Oreochromis niloticus: one gene and its partner. The protein of the gene in region 1 purifies or fractionates together with the protein of each later gene. This does not show direct contact. Links are inferred from orthologs where the notes say so. Each region holds a gene or a part of one and is shown on either strand. Other genes may lie near its edges.

Evidence for each region. The genes of interacting proteins can lie anywhere in the genome.
Region 2: the proteins of gsk3ba (region 1) and yap1 purify together in Homo sapiens (affinity purification with western blotting; 3 studies listed by BioGRID and IntAct, with this or other methods). This does not show direct contact. The link is inferred for Oreochromis niloticus from reciprocal best matches to the Homo sapiens genes GSK3B and YAP1.

Annotation. Positions count from the first base shown.
Region 1 is NC_031987.2:19,718,215-19,726,198, reverse strand, and holds the start of gsk3ba (glycogen synthase kinase-3 beta), read right to left. Parts: upstream 3,032-7,984; 5' UTR 2,015-3,031; coding exon 1,927-2,014; intron 1-1,926. Other genes in the region: gpr156 (probable G-protein coupled receptor 156), read right to left, coding at 6,880-7,984. UniProt on the Homo sapiens protein: Constitutively active protein kinase that acts as a negative regulator in the hormonal control of glucose homeostasis, Wnt signaling and regulation of transcription factors and microtubules, by phosphorylating and inactivating glycogen synthase (GYS1 or GYS2), EIF2B, CTNNB1/beta-catenin, APC, AXIN1, DPYSL2/CRMP2, JUN, NFATC1/NFATC, MAPT/TAU and MACF1.
Region 2 is NC_031979.2:32,236,346-32,244,022, forward strand, and holds the start of yap1 (transcriptional coactivator YAP1), read right to left. Parts: upstream 3,027-7,677; 5' UTR 2,494-3,026; coding exon 2,293-2,493; intron 1,148-2,292; coding exon 912-1,147; intron 1-911. Other genes in the region: cep126 (centrosomal protein of 126 kDa), read right to left, coding at 6,817-6,900, 6,994-7,058, 7,178-7,387, 7,653-7,677. UniProt on the Homo sapiens protein: Transcriptional regulator with dual roles as a coactivator and corepressor. Critical downstream regulatory target in the Hippo signaling pathway, crucial for organ size control and tumor suppression by restricting proliferation and promoting apoptosis.

The DNA of each region.
Region 1 (7,984 bases):
TTAGATTAAAACAATAACTAAAAAGAAATGTAAATTATATGTAGCTGCTTGTTACAAGAAAAAATAAAACTCAGTGATTAAGCACAATCGACAATGAAGATTTGCTATCATCCTTGATCGTTAAAGATTGGGAACTTAATAATGTTCTGTTTGGGTGCTTGGATGCTGCTACCAACAATGTGTTGCTAAGAGGCCCTCTGCATATATATCCACTGACCTTTACAATTGCTGGTTTCCTTCCCGTTTATAAAAGTCTAAATGAATATAACCCACCATTTTCACCAATGTTTTACTAATGTCCACGCCCAGAATCTGCGATGTACAGAAGGCCCTGAAGCTGCCAGAGCTGCTTACTTTGGTGGAAATTACTTTGGGAAGGGTTGGTTCCATGAAATGCTTCACAGACTGAAATTTTACAATAGGGGACATCTGAGCAATCAGCCACTCTACTTTCCTCCATGGAGATGAACACCACCTGCTGTTAGACATCAGATTATCAAACACCTATTTAATTGAGCAACTAGAGGTTCAGCTTATTATTTTAGTTGATAATAACGTACTGAGTCACCAGATGAGTCTCTATGAGAGAAAAAGAAATCAAGTTGAGGATCCAAAACTTTTGTCTGAAAAAATTAATTCTCACATTTAGCAGACCTGACCTATACATGCATCTGGGGCAAGACAAGAATTAGACTTGGGTTTGGAGTGTGTGTGTCACAGTGCACTAATCGGTTTCCAACACCAAGGCCCAGACATGAGCCTGAGCCTCAGGCCTCACCCGACTGACATACATCATGCTCACATCACAGCCCTTAAGGCTCCGTCAGCATTCCTTAACAGGTACGTGCCCCCAAACCCCACTCCACCCCACCCACACCCATCTGTGTGTCAGATAAGACAGGGGTGTAACTAGGAAATGTGCACGTGTCCATCTACGACAGTCGATACTCATTAATAGTAAGGATGCCATACTTCTAAATTAATTTCAATGAAACGACTTTTAGTGTTAATTTGATGTTATTTCATCTGAGTGAGCTCTAACTGGGCCATTAAATATAACCAGTACAGCAGTAGTATCTTCAGCATATAGACAGAGCGAATGGGAGCGAGTGCGCCTTGCCTTGAGATCGTTGTGGTGATGGATAGACTAGACGAAAGAGAGGCGTCTAGCACCAACATTGCCAGCCCCCCACCCCGCCACTTGCTCAGCTGACAGGCCTAGTCAGTCGCATGGCTTCCTCTCTGCAGCCAGTCTATAAGCGGTCTCCGGCACCGTGCCACCGTGGCTTCATGAACAGGATACTCGATGTCACACTCCCTCCGGTCGTCGCGACACGGCCCGTGGAAGTAGTGGAAACAGGGCTAATAAACCACCCCCCTTAGGATCGCGTCAGTTTCGCCCGACTCAACTACGGGCGCACCTTCCGCTCTGACGGTTGCGTAATAGACCGGACCTATCGCTTTAACTCCATTACGCATGTGATTGGTGCTGTGTGGCAATATCTCTACGCGATCTAGTCTACATTCAAATGGACAATAATCAGGCCGGATCTGCGGTGGAAGAAGGAGGCTTGGTTTTGACCTGGGCCTGTGCCAACACTACCTTCCTATGGCCCGGCCCGGCCCTTCCCGGCGCGGCCTGCTAACCCTGCTCCGGCTGACCGGCCCGGGGCGGCGCGACAGAGCGCGTAACGCTGTGTGCCCACACCGGGGCGAGCAGCAGTGTGTGCCGCTCAGCAGCCTCCAGTCTCGCTCTGTGACACACATATATGACAGAGATAAGCTTCCCGGAGCTAACCGTATGCTAACTTGACACATTTCCAGCCTAGTTAGTGAGAGGACACTTAAGCGAGCATATGCAGCCCACAGTGGGCCTGGTGCGTGCAGGAAAAGTCTGCCACTCTAGAATTACACGGGAGTACTTACTGCTGACTTTCATGCTGCCGAAAGCTGAAGGCTGCGGCACTGGCTTGCAGCTCTCTGCGAAGGATGTGGTCCTGGGCCGACCCGACATGATCCGACGATCCCTTTGATTCTCTCGACTGTGACTTGCTTAAACGGCGGAGCTGATCGATTCGCCGAACCTTCTCATCAAAAATAAAAAATAATAATAAAAAAAAATCCAAAAAAGGGGGGTTGGGGGGGTGACAGTAAATTAATATCACTGTAATTCTCAGGGAGGTCAGCTAGAAAGAGATCCCCTTATCCCAGGATCCTTCACACTACTTTGTATCGCCACTAAATGACCCTTTTCTTTTCCACCGACGGTCGATCAGAGCATCGTTTCCTCCTTATGCTCCAGGTTTTCTTTCAGCGGGCCTTTGAAGACACGTATCCGACTAAAATAGTCATGAATCTGGCCTCTCCCTGTGGCCCCACGGTTAAAAACCAGCGGTAATTTCTTTCGGGGTGCGGAATCGTTTTCACGGAGATGAAGAAGGGTTAGTTCAGATGCTGATCCGGTGCGGATCGGTGACAAATGCGGCGTTTTCTTAACGATTCGGAACACATGCAGTTCCACTTCATATCCCGATGTGGAGGCTCAATGATCCGACTGCCATGGCGGCTCCCTCGCTATACCCTAGCCTACAGACGGTCCAACGGAAAATCTGCCAGCTGCTACAGTCTTCTTCAGCAAATTCACTAGCCGTACGCCGACTCTAAATCCAGCCTTGCCTCGGTTAAATTTCGGTGTCTTTGCCGAGACCCCAGGCCGGTGAGCTCCTCAGAAAATACTGGTCTTTCAGCACAGAGTCCAACGATACGGAATTTCTTTTTTTATTCCTTCCCCATAGGTTTCAGGCTCGCAGTCTTTGTCGCTGCGCATGGTAGGTACGCCGTTTCCGCAAATTGTTCGAGGGATCGCTCCGGCGTCACGGAAAGACGTTCACGCTGCTGACGTAACTCGCGAGGGAGAATAGGAAAACTGTGAACGCGCGCACGGCGAATCTGGGGTGGCCGATTGAGCCAATCAGAGAGGGAATCCTTCAAAAACGGGCGGTGACCATTTTCCCGCCGTCCAATAAAAACGCCGCTCTCGAGCACCACATGGCATAATTTGCTCGGCACCGCCCTCGCGACTTCAAAGGCTTTTTTCCTGTGCCGCGTCGGGGACAAGGGGCGGGCCCGCTCCCGGGATGGATGACTTCTTCCACCAATGGAGAGCCGAAGCCGGGCTGTCAGTTCAAATGGACCCAGCTGTCACGGACACGGAGCACCGGTGGTCATGCAGCACTGTTGCTATGTTAGATACAAAAGCCTCTTCTTTATCGCTCCCCAACACTTTTTACCTCACGCGGCCCTCGGGCACATCCTTTTAATTAGTGTCATCCTGCTTAGTAATGTAATAATGTGCGCGTGCACGCGTCTCACCCTTCTATTGTAACCTTATCTTGCATGTTTGGCATCGTACCTCCTGATTTCACATTTAAACTGCTGTCTCTTTTGTGTGTTTGTAAGATGCCAGACAAACAAAGCTTTTGCTATTATTTATTTAATAAATATGGCGTCGTACCTAATGGATCAGTTGGCTCTGAAGATTCCTTTGACTGATGTTTTTTTTCACTTAATTTTTGGTGATATTTTGATGTATATAGTTTCTAAAAGGAGAATAACAGGTAAAACCTTCAGCTTGCAATCTCCTCTGTGGAATCAGCTCCCAGTTTGAGGAGGCAGATACCTTCTTTACTCTTAAGATTAGGCTTAAAACTCTCCCTTTTTCTATTAAGCTTATAGGTAGGGCTAGATCAGGTGACCCCGAACCATGTCTTGATTATGATGCAATATTGCTGGGGGACTTGCTAAGATGCAATGAGCATTTCTTCTCCTCTTATCGCTTTATGCTACAGCTGCATTTACATACCACTACAGCATGGCATTAACTTTTTTCTTCTCTCTGCCATTGTGTTTTGTCCTTGTCTCTCCATGATCTTCTTTCTCTGTTCTCTTTCCTCTTACCCTTGAGAGGGCTGTATTGTCAACTGACATAATGTATGAACGATTTTCATTAATAATAGTGAAGCTGCAAGGAGCAGAGATAGTGAAGGTGGATTAGTTTAACTACACTGGGTCAAAAATCCAAAGCAACGGACAGTGCACAAGAGAGGTGAAGAAGAGAGTGCAGGCAGGGTGGACTGGGTGGAGACGAGTGTCAGGGGTGATTTGTGACAAAAGCAGCATGAGTGAAAGGGAAGGTTTACAAGATGATAGCTGATGGTAGGTTTGGAGACAAAGTTAGAGAGACAAGGATGAGAGCACTTGCAGAGGAGGGATAATAGATATATTTTAAAGATGGAGCTGCGAGGCTGGAGGAAAAAGAGGAAGATCACAGAGAAGGTTCATGGCTGTGGTGACAGAGGACATGCAGAGGGCTGGTGTGAGGAGGAGGATATAGGGATAGCGTGAGAATGAGGCAGATGATCCACCGTGGCGACCCCTAAAGGATCAAAGAAGAAGAATGAGGTGTTAATAAATGAATGTTGTATCACTGAGTCAAAAAGATTTAAAATAATCTAGAACTGTAATTTATTACTGATCTATAAAGCAGTTATTGTTAACAAACTACCAAAAAGGTTGGAAATGGTGCAGTTTATGTTTGTCTGGTGATGTAAAATCGCTGAAGGTGTATCTTGTTCTTTTCTGCAAATGCATGTGAGTGTCACTAACTGTACTGAACTCTAATTATATGTGTGCTGCATTTCCTGAAATGGCAATAAAATATATTATATGCAGAATGCAGAAAGGGCAGGAAAGTCTTTCCCTGTTCACAGTGATACAGTTGCTAGTGTATCTTTTATGCAGGGGTGTGTGTATGTGTATGTGTGTCTGTGTGTGTTTTATTCTCCGTATCAAAGGGAGTTTCTCCCAGGCTGGCCTTCAATGGTTCATATGCAGAACAGAGAGCGGCAGCATCTTAAAAGCAGGCAGCTGAGCAGAAGTAACACAAGACACTGTTTTGCCTTCATAGCAACACCTCCCCCGGCAAACACACATTTCCCCATTAGTGGAGGGATAAAATACGAGAAAGACAGAGAGTAGATAGCAGAAGGGAGTGGAAGTGAAGGGCAAGTCATAAAAGAGACATGAAAGATAAAAGGGAGAAAAGGCTTTTGTCTGTGTTTCGGGAAAATCCATGAAAATGTGGTGAAATCATGAAATCATGGTGGAGATTAAAGTGATGTAGAGCCTGGCAAATGTTTTAACTCAGGGAAAATGTTGCATTTAACATGGAAATCATATAAAGGTGAGGTTTAGTATTTAACATCACGTCAGCACTCACATTCACAGAATGCACATTGTAAATTCAAACTCAGATTCAGCAAAGGAGCATAACAACATTTTAAGGAATGTTTATAATAAAAGAAACATAAAGTAATTTTGGGCACCAAAACATCAACAAATAAATACAGAAATAAATACAGAATTGCACAATTGATAATAGAGCGCACATTTGTTCTGTGAAAACCTTTTATGTTGCATCTGTTTATGTCATTTTTCACTATTGTGTCTCTTCTGTCAGTATATTTTGAGAACTTATATGAGTTGACTAATAAAGCACCTGTCTACAGTTCTGTGCAAAAGTCCTGATTTTTTCAGTTCATAATATTTTGCTGGGAAAAAATGAAATAGGTGCAAACATAAATAGAAATACAGTATATAAGGAAAGAAACATAGTTTGTACAAGTACGACGGCCTTTATTCTTTAACACATGCTGGACTCTCTTAGGCAAGCTTTCTTGTAATTTCTTTAAGTAGTCTTCAGTAATAGTTCTCCAGGCTTCTTGAAGGACAAAAGTAACTCTTCTTTGGAGTTTTCTTGTTCATTCTCTGTTTAGATGATCTCTCATTGCTTCAGTAATGTTGATGTCTGGGCTCTGGGGAGACCAATCCTTGACCGATAGTGTTGCATTGTGTGCATTTCTATCCAGCTATGTTTGTACTGCTTTGGCAGTATGTTCGGGATCATCGAAAAATGAAGTCATTGCCAATCAAAAGCTTCCAGGTGGTATTATATAGTGGATCAAAGGCTGATGGTACTTTTCTGCATTTATCATTCTGTAGGCACTCACTGTTGCACCTCTCTCCTGATCTCCCACATATATGTTGAGGAAAACTTAAACTATGATTCATAAGAAATATCTTGGGCTGATAGCACTTTGAGAATCAATTTGTTGGTGCAAAAACTGTTTTATATCTGTCAAAATGTGTTATCTTTGGCATTTTTTTTATGGATTAAAGAAGTGGAAACAAATTGTGCATTTTGGAACGGCTGCTAGTAACAAAGTGCCTAAACATACAATTTAAAATATTTTTTTTGATAAGTTGTCTGTTATCATTGTCATCAAACACTTTTTATGTTTGAATTATTCAAAGGTAAGTGTTAAAAAGATTAACAAAAAACAAACACAGAAAAAGAACATTCCTCTGGAAATGGTGAGGCCCAAGGACTCGTGTAAAAATGAATGAAAAAGCAGCCAATGTCCAAAAGCGAATGTCCTTCAGAACCACTTAAAGAATTAAAAGAAACTAAATATAAATAAATGAGTAACTCAAGGCTTTTGCACAGTACTGTAAGTGTCAAAGGTTTTCATCAGACAGTAGAAATAGTAATCCAAATAATACAAATAATGCCACAAGGAACTATAAAAGTAAACAGCATCATGTGTTTTTAAGCTACAAAAGTTTTAGTCTTATAAATCAGTCACTGTGACCCATGGTGCAACACAGAAAAACACCAATCTCTGGAATGTAAAGTTCCTATACTGTAAGCTACTGTCAAATGTCCCTCCATCACAGAAATACATCAGTTTTAGCAACCTTTCTGAGGATATTCATTCAAGTTGTGGAACTGGATAAATGTGTAAAGTGCAGTAAACGTGTTCATACGAAGGTGGGTTTGAGGTCTTCTTTGAATACCACAGGGCGTGGGGAGCGGTAGAGGCTCAAGTAGTCATCATACTCGCTGTCAGAGGAGTCTGAGGAGCTGTCTGAGTACAGGAGGGAGCCTCGCTGCAGGCAGGAGTCACAGTAAGGACGGTGGTAGTAGCAGTAATCTGTTGAGCTGCTGGAGTCTGAGTCCGAATACCCACAGGAGTCTCGAATGTGTCTACGGTGCTGCTCGTTATCACCGCCTGCTCCCACATCCTCTGGAGCTTTACGGTTTTGTTCTTCACAATGCAAGACCGAACATCTCGGGAGCCTTGAAACACACCTCTGACATGTTCTCATTACTTCATGCACTTTTCCGTCCTCCTCCTCCTTTCCCTCTTCAAGGTCACTGTTGTGATGTGGGATACAGTTATCATCCACAGTAATATCTTCTGGACTTTGGAGCGCACATGTGTCTCTTGCTCTTGCACAGCCAGGAACCTCAGAGCCTGTGTAGAAGCAGGGAGAAGCTAAACCTCCTCTAGAGGTGTGAAAGGGCCGCCGCCTTTTTCTCATGGTGTAAGGTGAGATGCTAGGGTAGCGAAAGAGTGCAGGAGAGGGAGGGGAGCAGGGTGTCCGTGGGGAGAGAGGGGAGAGTGTAGAGTCTCTGGTCAGCTTTTGCTGAGAAGGTATCCTGGGCACCTGATCGGGAGATCGAAGCGTGGTTTCCATAATTGCATCCACGTTGAGTTCCTGAAGGATCTCCTGCAACTGTTCGCTACTAACAAAACCAGCTGGTTTGGTATTTGGTCCCGCCTGAAGAGTCAGGCCACTATAACTACCAAAGGTTTCAGCCATAGAGGGGTTCAACCCTCGTCGGGACTGTAGAGAGGTCACAAACTGAACTGTCTCCTCTGCTGTCCTGAGTAAACCCATAAATGGGAGGGATGCGTCCCGTTTGAGAGCAGATGCATTGTTTTGAGTTTCACAAGCAGGGATTTTGGTGGGGAGAGGGGAGGAAACAGAAATGGGAGCGGAGTAGTTTGAAACAGAGGAAGGAGCAGAGGACGGTGTAACAGCAGATAATGAACCATGAGCAGCAGTGAGGTGAGGGGAG
Region 2 (7,677 bases), on another chromosome or scaffold:
CTGGTAATGTCTGACCAATCACACTGATTAGTGTACTAGAAGCTGATTTTACAAAGGAAGAGTAAACTTTAAAATTAGAAAAATATGAAGAGGTTACATAAATGATGTAAGTATTTGTATCCACTTTGGTTAGAAAGCTATTATTAAAGTGTAGCCACTTGTGTGAGTTAATCGATAAAAATATCCCCTTAAGACATTGGAGAACCTGATGAGCTGTTATCAAGTATTCCAATCATTTTCAAATTTGCATAAAACAGTTACAGCTGCTGTGTCTTTTAAGTATTTAAGATTAAGTTAAAATACAACAACAGAATTCAAATATAGGCTTAGTCTATGTACAAATTTGAAATTAGGTTAGAAAGTGCAGTATAGGTGTCCTGTTTTAGGATCATATATTACTGACTAACACTTATCAAAGAATAGATTGTTGCTGACAACATGGGAATGAATTTATATTTATCACTGATGCTCAACAGGTTAACACAAAGACTTTAGACACTACTGAAAAACCATCTACTCTACCCACAGTGGGATTTTTCAGGAAGGGTGATGCCAGTTTCCAACAAACTGCCTGGTCAGTAGGCGGTGATTTCATACCTGCTGATCTCTAATCAGGAACCTAACCTGTTCCGGAGCAGGTTAGGGTTAAGGGTTAAACTTCAGAGGTAATCCAGAAGTTACCCAGATAAGATTAAATCCTGCTTTGTAGTACAGAGGTCTCTATAGAGACCTGTCACAAGACCAATTCTTTGGTAACTTTCATTGTGACAAACTAAAAACTTTGAACCTGTGATTGTGATGGTATTAAAATGTAATGTAATGAATATCACTGACTTTTCAAAACATTTCAGGTTGCAAGCATTTTGAGACTTTTACAAACTGTATGATGCACTTCATGGCAGCATACATACTTGAGGAAGTATCTCTGGCCAGAGGCAGTCTTGGCCATCTCCCACCCATCTGGTAGGGGCATGTCATCAGGAATCTCATAAGAAGACTGACGAAGATGTTGAGGAGAGGCCCCTGTTGAGCCCATGCCAGACAGTGAGCCACCAGAAACAGCTCCTAACTGCAAGGAAGCAGGGGATGAGTGTGCACGGACATGGTGAGGGATGAGCACTCCGCCACTCCCAGCATCGGTGCTGGCCTGTGTTGGGGTTGAGAGACAACAAGAGCTGAGTCAGTTTTCTGTGGGGAGTTTGAGTGAAAATCCTTACTTCAAAACATCAATTATCATGTAATAATTAAAAAAGGCAATACGAAAATGTAAACACAAACTAAACATTTATGAAAGAATAAAAAAAATATATGTGGCTTTGTTCGTTTCAAATACAAGTGCAATAATGGATTAAGAAACGAAAAACAGAACAGTCTTAATTTAATGACCTTGTGTAGTAGTCTAAATAATTTCTACCCATTTAATATTTGAGTCACTCCTTATAATTCATAATCACTTTAAAGTGTATATAAATTCTATTCATGTGCATGTGAAGGCATGTTTTTGACTTATTCGGGTGTGGGAGGCATCCAGGGCCCGCCACCAACACGCATGCGCACTAGTACAAAAAATCCTCAGCGTTATGGGGAGCGACCGGTAACTTGGAAGTGCTGGAAATGGAAGAAGGGATCGGGGAGGGGCTGTGGGTGAATATAGGATAATTTAACCATCATATGATTTCCTGTCAGCAAATCAAGTTGTTTACATAAAAAAGTCGGATTAGAAAGAAAATTTAAGATGATGCGAACATGACGGTTATCCGTCTGCAAATAGCTATACATGAATTATTAACCAAACCATCCCTTATTGTTTTTACATGGTCACTTATCTATTCACAATTTATTCTAAGCTAAGCAATATTCATCGGTTTTCTTGGTTACTTACGGCCAAAGACTGTAAGAGAATGTTTCCGCCGTTTTATAAAGCCCTCACGGCCTTTACTGTTTTAATGTTTTGTTTTGTTTTTTTGCTGTGCAATGTGTTAAATAGAAATTTGAGGGGGGGAAAAAAACAACCCATCAATGGAAATGCACACTCATTTAAGCATGTCAATACGAGTCCGCCTGAATAAAGTTATTATATCTTAAAGACTTTAAAAAAAAAAGTGTGTTCAAAGATGACTGACCAATAAAACAATAACGCTGAAGGCTAAAAATGGCACTGAAGAAGGATGAAGTAACTATTAACTAAGTGCCAGTCACGTAGCTCCAGAAGGCCGAAGCTCGACAAGATGGGCCCTGATTTTTAGTCGTGATTTCTGAGTACGGGCACAGTAAAAACCAGGGCGGGCTTACTTGTCTGGAATGAGACTTTGGTTCTGGTGGTTTGAAGAAGGAGTCTGGCAGTTTCCTCATCCTCATGGGCACAGAGTGGGGCACGGTATTGACTTTCGGGTTCATCACGGCGTTAAAAAGCGCCTCTAGGTCAGTCTCAGAGTCGCCCCGTACATGGACGATTTGGTGTCCGGCAGGAGGGTTGTGCTGGCTCGGATCCATTGTCCCAAAACAGTCTTCGAACTTTATGTCCCAAAAAAGTTAGGCTTCGGAAGTTAAAAAATAAACGTGAGTCAATCCCAAACTTTTTTTTCCACGCCGGGAGAAATCTGAAAATCTCGACGACACTCAGTAAAAGTTATTCGGAGTCATTCTAAACTTTACAAGTCGAGCACTTGATATTCTTCCAAAGTGTGTTAGCTGTCGAAATCTGCAATGAAAGACAGCCTTTTCCTGTTGTTTCCTGCTGGCATACTTGTTAACGTAACAAAGCGCATAAACTCCACATTGGAATTTATGCTCTCGTCCCCCCAAAAAACGCAGATGCAGCCACAAAAGACGAAAAAACACCACAAACGGTTGAGTGAAAGAGTCCAACTTTTTCTGAGTGTCGGGCCAAGTCCAAGCTGTTGTTGATATTCTTTTAAGCAAGGCTCATAGTGAGCAGTACAAATCTCCGCAGCTCACTTTCTAGAAAAAAAAAAAAAAAGTTTAGCCCCAGTCGGATCTAAACTTTGGAGAGGAGACATCAAACTTTATGACGCCAGTGACGTAATGACCAATAAAGGGCGGGACTTACGGCTCCGATTGGGACAAGAGCGTTTAAAGGTAGACTGTGAAAAAGCCAAGCCCTTTATTAGCGGGCACCTTCCCCAATTTAAATAACGTGTGAAATTAAAAGTAAAATATTATGTGCCAAAAGATACGTTTTTGATAAAACATGTCACAACTTTTAAAGTTAACATCTACTTATTTTGACAGCAAATGGAACTGTAATATCCTTTACAGTTTATGTAATCTTCGACTGGACAATCAGGGCAACACCTTATAAATTATGGCCCATTTGCTAGCCCAAATCTGAATGCAGCGTAGAAAAAGAAACTACTATATAGGAAGTTTCATTAAACTAACTTGCAGATGCACTGAAAATGAATGAACACAGCAATGTAACCAAATTAAACTCAAATTTGATGCTATAAAGTGACATTTTCTTGTACAACTTTGTACATGTTTTTTTTTTTTCAAAGTTACCAAAGTTTTCTAGTGTAAAAACAAGAAATTAAAGGACAAATAAGAAAACGAAAATCAAATTCATATTGAACTTAAAGCTCATAATAACTTACAATAAATTGCATTTGCAAACGGAAAATCTGACTAAAGCAACACTGGCAGATCACATTTTTCTTTGCAGGATTTATTTATAGCATTATGACACAATATAGATAAACACTTTTCCAAGAATCTGAGCAAAGATAACAAAAAAAAAACTATCATCACTATGTGTAATAGTACAGTTTTGTCTTTCTCTCACTCTCTTTTTTTTGTTACAGTGCTCATGAAAAGTAGACCCATGCAGTTCCCACAATTGTTATGCTAATGCGGCCCCTCTCCCATTGAGAAATCATTTTGTCAAGATCCACCCTCTTTGGATATAGAGGCTCTGTTTCAGCTTTTCCCATACATCCACTGAATGCATCATTATGAAGATCTATTAAATATCCACAGACACTGTAAACCTCCTTAACAGACTGATAGTCACAAGCCACATGCTTTTGGACAGATAATACTTTTTAACAAAGCTGTACCTTCAAAATCTTAGAAACATTTAACATCGCTGTAATCCACCATACTAGTGTACTGATAGGAATTCATGTTTGTCCTGCTAAACTTCGATGTGTCTAATAAATGATTAGTAAAATACTGACAGTGAGAAAACTTTTAATATATGTGAAATACTTGATTATTGTTTTAAAAGTCGCTCTAATTTGATGAATGAAGGAAACAGTCTTTGCACACATGCTGCCAGTCAAAAAATGGCAATTGTTTCAATGAAAGTGGCCATTTTTACATCATTGTAACGCAGTCAGACACATTAAAGAGATGGACTGCAGTGTCCCGGCAGCGCCAAGAGGACCACCCACCACGCCGAGTTTGGTCACTTTTTGTCAGCCTTCCATCCTCCTCACTGCTCTCGATTGGATATTACTAGAAACGATTATATGGCCGCTATAAACCAGAATCAACCTGTGATCTACAGTGTAGCTGCATGAGTCCACTTTGTGTAAAGCGCTTTGCTCTTCTGTTTGGCTATTACAGATATGTTGACACACCGTTGCTATAGTCAAGTGAGTAGAAGGCTCGCACGCCCCCTGCAGTGTACAATCGGTATTTATCCCAAACTATTGCAGCGTCTATCCCTTCCTTTCTGACTTCCTTTAAACATGAACTAACCACGTACAATACAGTCAATAATAAATGAAAATGATATACTGCATGTCAACTTTAACGTTTTTTATTGTCTACAGTCTTTCAGTTTTATGCATAAATCTTAGCTATCACTCATTTTCTGAGCTTTTAAGCCATTGTTATCATTACAAATTTGATCTAAACATGTAAAGCTTAATTTCCAACCTCCCATCCATGTGCATATTGTTTGATTACAAAAGATATTCAGATTCAGAAGTCAAGGTTTGTTTCAGTCATTTTTCGTTGCATGCAATATTGCTTTTCCAGACACTCATTCATTGCGTGTTAAATGGACTGTAACAAAAGAAGACAAAATACTTGACAGCTTAAGCTTCACAACAGACCAAAGCACAAGTTTGAACTTGCATCTGTGAAAATGTCTCCCCTTATTTTCAGCACTCTTGCCTTTTCTTGTTCAGTTTCTGGGTGTTGTGCTGGTTAAGGCTTAAAGCTCATTACACTCACCATTGTATAGCATAATGACTGTGAACAATAATGGTGCCAAGCCAAACGGAACTGATTTCAGGGCAAACCTACAGCAGAATATTCAGAATTTCAGTGATTTATCTGAACATGAACACTTAATCTACATGATTGTGTTTATTTGTGTGCGTGCCTATGTTGTTGTTGTTTTTTATTGGGGCAGTCCAAGTATTATTACTAGACAGTTTCTTGTTAATAGGTAGGACTCAAATATGTTAAATATCAGCATTCATCAGTTCAGATAAAAGTAGTTTTCTTCCCTTTATAATCGTCTCATGCACACTGGGTAGAAATAACACTGATGCTCATTGTCAATTAACCACATTGGACAATTTGTATGTTTCACTGGAGAATCTCTTCACATATAATGAGTCAAAGTGCGTCTGCTGTTGTGGGCATAATCATATGCTAAAAATGAATACATTGTCTCCCTCTGTTGCTGTTCTCAGGTTTGGTGTAAGCTAACAAGGAGGTGATGCACGACTCGATGTGGCAATGAGACACCATTGTCACATTACTGTTTATAGCTCCTTCTTGGAGCACCAAAGAAACCTGCAGTTAAGCTATAAAAAAGTCCCATCATTGTTCAGATGAGCTTGGGCTTCCTTCAGCTCTTGGAACAAGTCCTAGCAGGCTGACAGAGGGACAAACCCAGACACGCCGGAGAAGGAGGGGCAGCTCACATCAATAATCCCTACAGCGTCTTCCCCCAATGCACCTATTGTTTGCCGAGGAAGACAGAGAAGTTTTTAATTAAATACACTTTAAACAACAACTAGTATCAAATAATACCATCCTTTGTCTTTTGATGTTGCTATAGATTGAGGGCAATATTAAATAAATTAAGCCTTAAAGCAAAAATAAAATTCAGCATAGGTGCAATCTTAAGAGAAACCTGTGGAAACCTCTTTGGTAGAGGCTTGGCTTGCTGAGCCAGTAGGTTGAGTCTAGTAGCCATAATCATCTGTTCCACAGCCATAAAAGAAAGACGAACACACCTTCAACGCTGCAAAACGTCTTTTCATAAACCATTTCCAGGCCTTGGTCAATTCACTGATTGTAACACTGCCAAACACAGAGTTTATCAGCAAACTGACAACAAGATTTATTCACTTCACTGCTGATATAGTTGCAAAACAGTCCAGCAAATCATAGTGTTACTATACAAAATAAATACAGAGTGGTGCAACTTTAAACATTTAACATATACAATTTGATAGTGTTTGTATATTTTGTAGTCAGGGCTGGTCATGTGTTGATTGAAACAAGAGCATCTTTGCATTTTTTAACATAAAAACAGATTAAAGCCTTTCTCATTTACATAGGCACTTCAGACTTAAATTGCTTGATAATCAGTATCTTAAAATTGTTTTTCTTTTATGACCATGTGCTACGTGCGCTCTAAGGCTGCTGATATGGGGTTTTTTTGTCTTTGCAATTCAAGGCTGTTTATATTTCAGATCCTTAGTTACTTGAAAAGACACACTTTGTAAAAATTCCTTTTGCGGGGTAATAAGTGCTTGTTTCAACAACATGTTTCAGCATAATGTGCACCGATGAGGGCTCAAGACTGCTGTGGCGAACACAAGCTTCAAGTCAGGACTTCTTGTGGTATCGAGAGTGATTGTTAGCTGAGGATCCACAGTGTTTGTTATGGTTTGATGCTTTCACTTCTCTTGTCTGAAAATGGAGACAGAAGTTAAGGAATGAATTATCTTCAACAAAGTCACCCTTTCTGTTGAGGAAAGAAATAAATCCCTGCTAAATACTTACATAGGGTGCATCACTAAGTACAAGACCATGCATGCTAGTATTGCCCCCAACACGCTCCTGCACACCTGCAAATAGTAACAGGTTGGCGTGGTTACGCTGCACCGACATCATGTTGATACTCTTCTGTCATACACAGGTCAGAAAAATTCTGGCCTGATTTTAACGGCCTTCACAAAGTGCTTACATTGAAGCTGGTGGTTGAGTCGATCCAGACAGAGCAGAATTTTCTTCTCCTCCAAGGAAATGGTGGTGAGCTCCTGCTGTTGGCTGTACTGCTCTACTGTTCCAGATCTCTGTGTTTGGACTGTCTCCATGGCAGCCACTATACCCTTTTCTTCCAGATGGCCTTTAGCATGCACTTCAGCTAGGTGTAACTGGGCTGCACTCTCAAAATCTGAGATTACATTAAAGGCAGACACTCTCACCTTATCAATGGATGATGCAGCTGTCCTATCAGATTTCTAAATTCCTATATCCCCCTGTTTTTTTTTTAGTTACATTATATATATTTCCTAAAACTACAAAACAAAAAAGAAAATGTTAAGAAAGCTCTTATAAAGCATCAGACATGACAGAATAGTTACAATTTTTTAAACTAATACATTCAACATTTGCTTTAATTATGAAATAAATGTAAACACAAACAGAGAACATAATACCTTCATTTGGAAAGGCTGAGTTGTA